Linked DNA regions of Kluyveromyces lactis. The protein of the gene in region 1 binds, or shares a complex with, the protein of each later gene. Links are inferred from orthologs where the notes say so. Each region holds a gene or a part of one and is shown on either strand. Other genes may lie near its edges.

Evidence for each region.
Region 2: DPH1 (region 1) and KTI11 share a complex: the UniProt entries of both Saccharomyces cerevisiae proteins name them as parts of the 2-(3-amino-3-carboxypropyl)histidine synthase complex. The link is inferred for Kluyveromyces lactis from reciprocal best matches to the Saccharomyces cerevisiae genes DPH1 and KTI11.

What each region holds. Positions count from the first base shown.
Region 1 is NC_006042.1:372,254-376,358, forward strand, and holds DPH1 (2-(3-amino-3-carboxypropyl)histidine synthase), read left to right. Parts: upstream 1-2,336; coding exon 2,337-3,605; downstream 3,606-4,105. Other genes in the region: BOP3 (Bop3p), read left to right, coding at 1-514; Hsp90 cochaperone SHQ1, read right to left, coding at 566-1,993; Golgi transport complex subunit COG6, read right to left, coding at 3,662-4,105. UniProt on the Saccharomyces cerevisiae protein: Catalyzes the first step of diphthamide biosynthesis, a post-translational modification of histidine which occurs in elongation factor 2.
Region 2 is NC_006041.1:1,815,575-1,819,623, reverse strand, and holds KTI11 (Kti11p), read left to right. Parts: upstream 1-1,934; coding exon 1,935-2,183; downstream 2,184-4,049. Other genes in the region: RPS8A (40S ribosomal protein eS8), read right to left, coding at 41-646; KLLA0_E20417g (uncharacterized protein), read left to right, coding at 2,642-3,928. UniProt on the Saccharomyces cerevisiae protein: Required for the first step of diphthamide biosynthesis, a post-translational modification of histidine which occurs in elongation factor 2.

The sequences.
Region 1 (4,105 bases):
TTCTGAAAGGCATATACATAAGAGAATGATGTCAATGCCCATCTTCAAAAATGAACCAACGACTGGAGTGTTAAACTTTTCGGCTTGGCAAACATATAACGGTCAAAATCTATCAGGGAATCACCCAGGGTCTGGAAGAAAACTCACGACGACGGGCCCTTCATCGTTTCCACATGCAGTAAGGAAACATAGAAGAACACATTCTACAAACTCTGCTTTTGGTGTCATTGATTTGAACTCCATCAATCAGGTTGCTTTTAAACAGTCGAATTCAAGAGGTAGCTCTGCTATTGGAAATAATGTTAATGATCATGGGGATAGTCCCACGTCGGGAAAAAATAATTCAAAGGTAGAAAAAGAATCTGACCCATCCTCCGTTGGAACAAATGACGATGCTTTCGGTGATGATAGTAGCAATGACACCACTATCGATGATATCAAAAAGATCTCACCTTCTCCTCCTCGAACATTATTGAAAGGTCCTAACTATGTGGACAATTTATTAAATACCTGATTGATACTACCGGATTAAAGATGGTTGGAAAATTGATCTATATAAGTGCACTCATTGTACTATTTCTTCTTGTTCTGCTAAATATTCTATTTCGGAGATATTCAATGTTTCCCATTCAACCTCGCCAGTCTCCTCATTCATTCCTGAAATACATTCAAATTCAATGTCTGATTTTGTGATCGATTCAAGCTCTTTCTTTGCTTGAAGTGCTAGTGATTGAATCACATTATCGTTTCCCTGAGAAATGAACCATGCGCAAAGATCATCCAACAGAATTTTATTGTAAACGTAGTAGACATCATGGTATCGGAATAGTTCATGGATATCCAATAACGCTTTTATTACCAAACGTTTCCCTCCAAGTAACAGCTTGATAGCCAACTGCCATGCTTTGATACAGAGGTCATAGTTACGATGCAACGGATAGCTGAGAGCTCTTCTAATACCTGTTACTATGGTACCTTTGATTTGAGAGAAATGTATTAAAGACTCGGATAGAAGAATCTGTTGGTCCAACATTGAGATCTGTGGGGTCAATTTACCGATTGTCCATTGGCTTTCAGTTGTATGTTGTCCCTCATTTTCGATCTGCTCAAAAGTGTAAGAATATAATATTGATAATATCGTTAGATATTGGCTTTTAACGTCATTTATTAAGTACTTCTTTTTAGGAATGTGGTCTTGCATCTGAGTCTGTTCCGCTTCGGTGAACTCCACAGGAAAAGATACATTTCTTTCCTTCGATTCATTGTCTGACCTTTCGAACCACTGCTGATACCTTTCGCAAAGAGGAGGAAGGTACCCAAGCAATCTTTTTATGCCATTAATCTGGATTTCCTCTTCATCGCCCTGTTTTATGGTTATATATTCAGCAGCATAGTACTCTGGATCAAATTTCAAATTTTCCTTCTTCAATCTTTCCTTGACTCTGTTCTCGGGAGAAGTATGTTCAGGATCATCCAATTCGTTAATGTCATTGCCATTTGCAACGGACATAACAATATATCCTGTATAAAGATTATCGAAACCGTATTTCGTTGTTGGTGTATTATCTACTTGAACCTCTTGTTTGATTTCCCAATCAAAATGCTCTCCTTCTTCTCGAATATCAGCAATTGATTCTTTCTCATTACTAATTTCTTGAATCAACGGCCCATCTGTCACTTTAGGTTCATTCTTTGCTGCCAATAATTTGCTAGCGAGATCTAAGTCCTTGAACTCTTTACCTTTAACTGCCTTCAGAATCTTACAATTGATGCTCTCTTGTTTGGAATCATATTCCACTGTATTTAAAGTTTCATCCTCCACCAATTCATCTGATAATCTCAACCTCAAATAATACGGCGACAAATGGAAGATAAACATACAACCATCTATTACAACCTCTACACCAGCACTGTTAAACCTTATGCTTGACACCTTAATTTGTACATAAATGTATTCATCATCCTGAGTGACAGTAAATCTTGGAGTTATCATTAGGAACACTATACCGGTAAAATACGAAACTCCGGTACCAAGTTACTTCTTGTATAGTTTCTGAAATTAATGGGTGGTCAAATTAGCAATTCAGATAGTTATGTTTATAGCAACTAAAAAGGACATATAATCCCATCTCAGTGGCACATACCTTGACCTTTTAGAATTACAGTCATCAGAAATTACTTAGACGATTACAGAAAAGAAAGAAAAATTTCCAACTTTGGATATTTGAAAAGAATTACCAACAGATGAGATGAGATGAGTCGGTTTAGGTTTTACTGTTCCAGACACCATTTAACTGCAAGTGTTGTGCTCCAATTGCTAAATAGCGCCTTTTGTGATGACTATGGGTGAAGTTGAGAAAAAGCCTAGAAGAAGGTTTGTTGGTATCAAAAAAGCTGCAGAAGAAAGTGATCCCTCGGGATCAACCACTGAGCTAGTGAAGAAAATCAAGCCTAAGACTAACATTCGTCATGCTATTAATCAGATACCGCCGGAGCTTTTAAATGACGAAGAGTTAAATGCTGCTATCAAGCTTCTTCCCTCGAACTATAACTTTGAAATACATAAAACTGTATGGAACATTAGAAAGCACAAAGCAAAGCGTGTTGCTATTCAAATGCCTGAAGGGTTGCTCATATACTCTTTGGTGATAAGTGATATTTTGGAGCAGTTCTGTCAGTGTGAGATTGTGGTTATGGGCGATGTTTCTTATGGTGCATGCTGTATTGATGACTATACAGCAAGATCGTTGGATTGTGATTTCATTGTCCATTATGCACATTCCTGCTTAGTTCCGATCGATATTACTACTATCAAGGTACTTTACATCTTTGTCACTATCAATATTGATGAGACACATCTAATAAAGACGTTACAGAAGAACTTCCCAAGAGGTTCACGGATTGCTGCATTCGGAACAATTCAGTTTAATCCAACTATCCATAGTATGAAGGACAAATTGTTGCAGTCGGAGGAACACATGTTATATATCATCCCCCCTCAGATCAAACCACTTTCGAAGGGTGAAGTTCTTGGGTGTACTTCTGAAAGACTAAACAAGGAACAAATAGATGCGATGGTTTATGTTGGGGATGGTAGGTTTCATTTAGAATCGGCCATGATTCATAACCCTGAAATTCCTGCTTTCAGATATGATCCCTATAATAGAAGATTCACCAGAGAACGTTACGATCAGAAGCAATTGGTAGAGGTAAGAGCATCTGCCATTGATAAAGCTCGCAGTTCGAAGAAAGTTGGTTTGATACTTGGCGCGTTAGGTAGACAAGGTAATCTAGCAACAGTTGAAAATCTCGAAACTAAGCTCAAGGCTTCCGGAAGGACTGTAGTAAAGATTATTCTCAGCGAGATTTTCCCACAAAAGCTTGCAATGTTTGATGATATCGATGCCTTTGTTCAAGTTGCCTGCCCAAGGTTGTCCATTGATTGGGGGTATGCTTTCAATAAACCATTACTAACACCGTACGAAACTAACGTGATGCTTGAAAACGACCGGATGTTCAATGAGAAATATTACCCGATGGATTATTATCATATTAACGGATATGGTAGAGGTAAGGTCCCAAACCATGACGACGTAACTATCTAAGTAAATGCATTAATTATATCGAATTACAATCTGGGACATCACATTTGTTTATTTAATTATTTATCTTCAACACCTAGTAGGGTGGAAACTTCGTTAGTCGTAAAGTTTAATGTCGACATTATCATTTCTTCGTCTTCCGGATATATTTTGTTCAAAACGCTTTTGAACACTTTATAGAATTTGATAAAATTTCCGAAACAGGTGGACACAATGTCCTCTTCAACCGCTGGTGGCATCAAATTGAATAATTTTACATCTTGAAAATCAGAAACTGCTAATGGAAGATAGGTGTTCAATTTTTCGTGGATATTGTCGTGAATAACTGCTAATTTCATGATTGGGTTCTCAACCGCCGAAAGATACATGTCGTAATCAAGCTCATCTTGCACAGAAATAATTGGGAAAATCATGTTGAAGAGATTAAAGTACAATTCCATACCCGTTGATTCGAACAGATAGCTATTCATTGTTTCCTTTAACTTGGTAACGCATAATGTATA
Region 2 (4,049 bases), on another chromosome or scaffold:
TGATAAATTGGCGTATATGTTAATTTGCGAAGGAGTTGACTTATTTCTTAGCAGTCAATCTTCTCAAGTAGAAGGCCAATTCTTCACCTTCCAAAATGTAACCATCACATCTACCGGATTGACCTGGTCTGGAAGAGATAGCAGCGTACAATCTACCAGCACCGAATTGAGAGTCAACGGCGTGTTCGATCTTAGCTTCAGCAGCTCTGGCAGCCCACTTTCTTTCAGTGTTCTTAGAGGTGGTGGCGGTTTCTTCTTCAGCCTTAGTGTTCTTCTTCTTACCCAAAGATTGACCGTAGTGAGATTCGTACCATTGTCTGAATGGGGTAGCATCGATTTGAACGATAGCTGCCTTGGTCAAAGTGTTAGTTCTAACCAATTCATTGTTGGATGGATGGTAGACGACACCAGTGATTCTGGTCTTTCTAGCGACACCTTCGGAAGCCCAGGAGAAGTTACCAGTTTCAATTCTCAAAGCTCTGAACTTCTGGTTACCACCTCTGGTTCTAACAGGATGAATTCTCTTAGTACCGATCTTGGTGTTGGCAGCTTGACGGCCTAATTCGAACTTTCTCTTCTTTCTGAATTGAGCACGTTTAGCACCGGTAGCAGCTCTTTTGTGACGAGAATCACGAGAAATACCCATTTTGCTTTACTGTAGATAAAAGCTTTAGTAAAAGATGTTAGTAAATTTTTCTTTCGTTTGATTGCCGTTAATTAGCTTTTGCTTGTACTTTCACAGAGTAGTTATATAAGATAACTTCAGATGCCACCAACGATGTTTTCTCTTTGAGTTAATTACTTCACAAATAATTTCGCCTTCTTGGTTGTATACTATCCCGTACTTCCCACCTTCGATATTAGAAAGCCGCTTCTTTACTCGTATGAATCTCCTCAGTTCGCTAGTTTTTTGCTACACCATAACGGACTTCCCACTGATTATTCCTTGGTAACTGTCATTCACCCTCAGTGATCTAAAACATTTTCTAATTCATTCCATCAATTCAAAACTCTTTCAAATATATCTAAACATGTAATCGCACTGTTCTCTCATTGTATTGCATCCGCTGGTTACTCCACAAAGCACAATAGTACCCACGTATAAAACATACTATTTGACCTGGCTTCTTGACCTCTTCTTGTATTTCAAGAACTATCCAATACAATAACTATAGAAGGTAACAGTATATAACAGTATACAACAATTTTGTAACTTTTCACTAGATGGAAATCAAAGTTGTTCTTTCGACAAAATGGACCACACTGCCGAGTATTGGACTGCCAGAGGGAACCAGCTCGCCCAGAGAAAGGGACAGAGAAAGCGTGAGAATGGCCAAAGGTGAGCTGGAGGAGAGACTCCTGGGGAAAGATTCTGCCTAGGTGGTAGATGGAATGTTGCTCTCTGGGCAGACGGGCAGGGATATCGACGGCAGCCAGAAACTGAATGAGTGGTGTGGGCCAGAGCATTCTGAGGCCAGAGGGGGTTTACACCGGTAGTGAGTGGCTTGGGACGGCCTGGCTAACCATTATGGTATTTGTCTGTTTTAAAAATACTTATTACCTTTTTAGGTATTAGTGAAAATAAATGAAATTGAATTATGTATGGGTGTAAAATATATGTCTGGGTTGTGATAGTCCCGAAATATCACGTGACTTCTTCAAAAGAACCAGTCCTTCTTTTCCCGGTTTTCTCAACAAGTTAAAAAGAAAAACTGAAACTTTTGACATGAAATGACAATTGAGTCAATCATTACGCTCATCGCATTATGTTTAATACCTATGTCTTCATACCCAGTGCATTCAATATTCTCTAACCTAAGGGTACGGAATTGGAATAAACTTTTGGTCAACCTGGTGCTGGCATATTGAAGAGAGAAGTGACTACTAGAAGTTAACTTAAAGAGAAAGAATTAATTATTAATAGTATTAGAACAATGTCCACTTACGATGAGGTTGAGATTGAGGATATGACTTTCGACCCAGATACACAGATATTTACGTATCCTTGTCCCTGTGGTGACAGGTTCCAAATTTCCATTGATGATATGTATGACGGAGAAGACATTGCAGTTTGTCCCAGTTGTTCGTTGATGATCCAGGTGGTTTTCGACAAGGAAGACTTGGTGGAATATTATGTGGAAGCAAATCTGGAACCACCGGGTAAAATTGCTGTAGCTGTGTAAAATATTTTTGCAGCATCACCCTCGTCATTTATCTGCATTAGTTTTGCATGGTTATACAGAGTGTGTTCTTTTAGTTTGTTTATGGTTTTCTCACCACTCTTCAAGCACCGCACTGTATATAATTTCATTCTAGGGATGATTTATCAATCCTCTGGCAAGCTCCACTATCACACTTCCATCCGCACTGGACAGTCATTAAATTCAGTTCTTACCACATCATGCATATCGTTCACAAGTCCGTACTATATACCCCGGATCGTATATATGTTCTCTGTTTTAAGCATTTTCTGTATTATCTATTGTTTCTCGTATTAAACTAAATTTCATTTAAAAAAAGCGTCAATTAAAAGAATTAGAACGGAGTTTACACAGACTTCCGCTACCATGACCCTTAACACAAGGATGCTTACCACTTCAAGCCTTTCTGGATAAATTCATACTGCTGTAACTCTTTTACCATGGCGGAAGAATTGTTAAATAAACACGATCCGAAGTTGGCATATGTGGTGAAATATAATCATGATTCACCAAACCCTAGGGAATTGGCTTCCCCTTTAGAGATGAAAAGAGTCGCTAGGCCGCTAAGACATATCCATTATGTGCCGGTTAAATCGCTAATATTCTATTCCAAAAATCATCCTCCTCAGTTCTCCTATGAAACAAAGATAAAGACTCCAATATCTAAAGATGTCATTTCCGTGCAAGTGGAATATGTCGGTTTAAACCCAGTTGATTTAAAGATATTCAATAGTTACACTAGGCATATGAACTATGAAGTTGGCATTGGAAGAGAGTATTATGGAAAAATCTCAGAAGTAGGCTCAAATTTGGCAGATACGTGGAGTGTCGGTGATGAAGTTTGCGGTACTTTTTGGCATCCAAATTTAGGTAAAGGAACTTGTGAATCTACCATTTTGGTTGATCCAAAGGTTGACGTTGTTTTACCTAAGCCAGTAAACATCAGTACTCAACAAGCGGCATCTACTTTTTACTGTCTTGGAGCCGCATTCAATATCCTTGACAAGCTTGATCAAGAGGGGAAATTAAATCAAAGCAGCAATATATTGATCAATGGTGCCTCTACAATGACCGGAATATTTGCACTACAACTCTTAAAGTTTCATTACAGGATATTGAACAGAATCGTGTTAATCTCATCTACCTCCGGTATGAACTTCATTAAGTCAAATTTGCCTGAACTAGTCGATGAATTGCTCTTCATCGACTATGCAGCAACGAACGGTAAAATCTACAAACCATTAAGCGATCTAGTGGCAAGCAATGAATTGGTTGAATATAACAATGAAACTGGAAATTTTATAACTCAACCATTTGGCCAGGGTAGCTTCAATTTAGTTCTTGACTTTATTGGAGGGTATGACATTATCGGTCACTCTTCTTCCATTTTGTCCAAAGATGCTACTTACATCACAACCGTTGGCGATAATAAATCGAATTACAAGAAAGATACTTTTAATTCATGGGGTACTGCAAGTTCTAATATTAGAAAGCTGTTCGGACAGGTGCTATGGTCTTTCGATTATCAAATGTTTTATTTTGATCCAAATGCCAAATTAGCGACAAATGAATGGCCAAAAAAATGTCATGAGCTAATAGAAAGTGAAGTTGTCAAGTTTATTCCTGTAGATAGGGTATATGATTGGAAAGAACATCAAAAGGCATTTTCCTATCTGCAGACAGGCCGTGCACATGGTAAAGTTGTTTTAAAGGTAGAGAAGTTTTGAACTTTAAGCTGCACTTATGAATATGTGCTAATATCTTGCGAAATGAATTTATGAAAAGATGTTGAACGACAAAAATGACCAATGATATGGCTACGGCTTATAATCATTGTGATATTTTTAA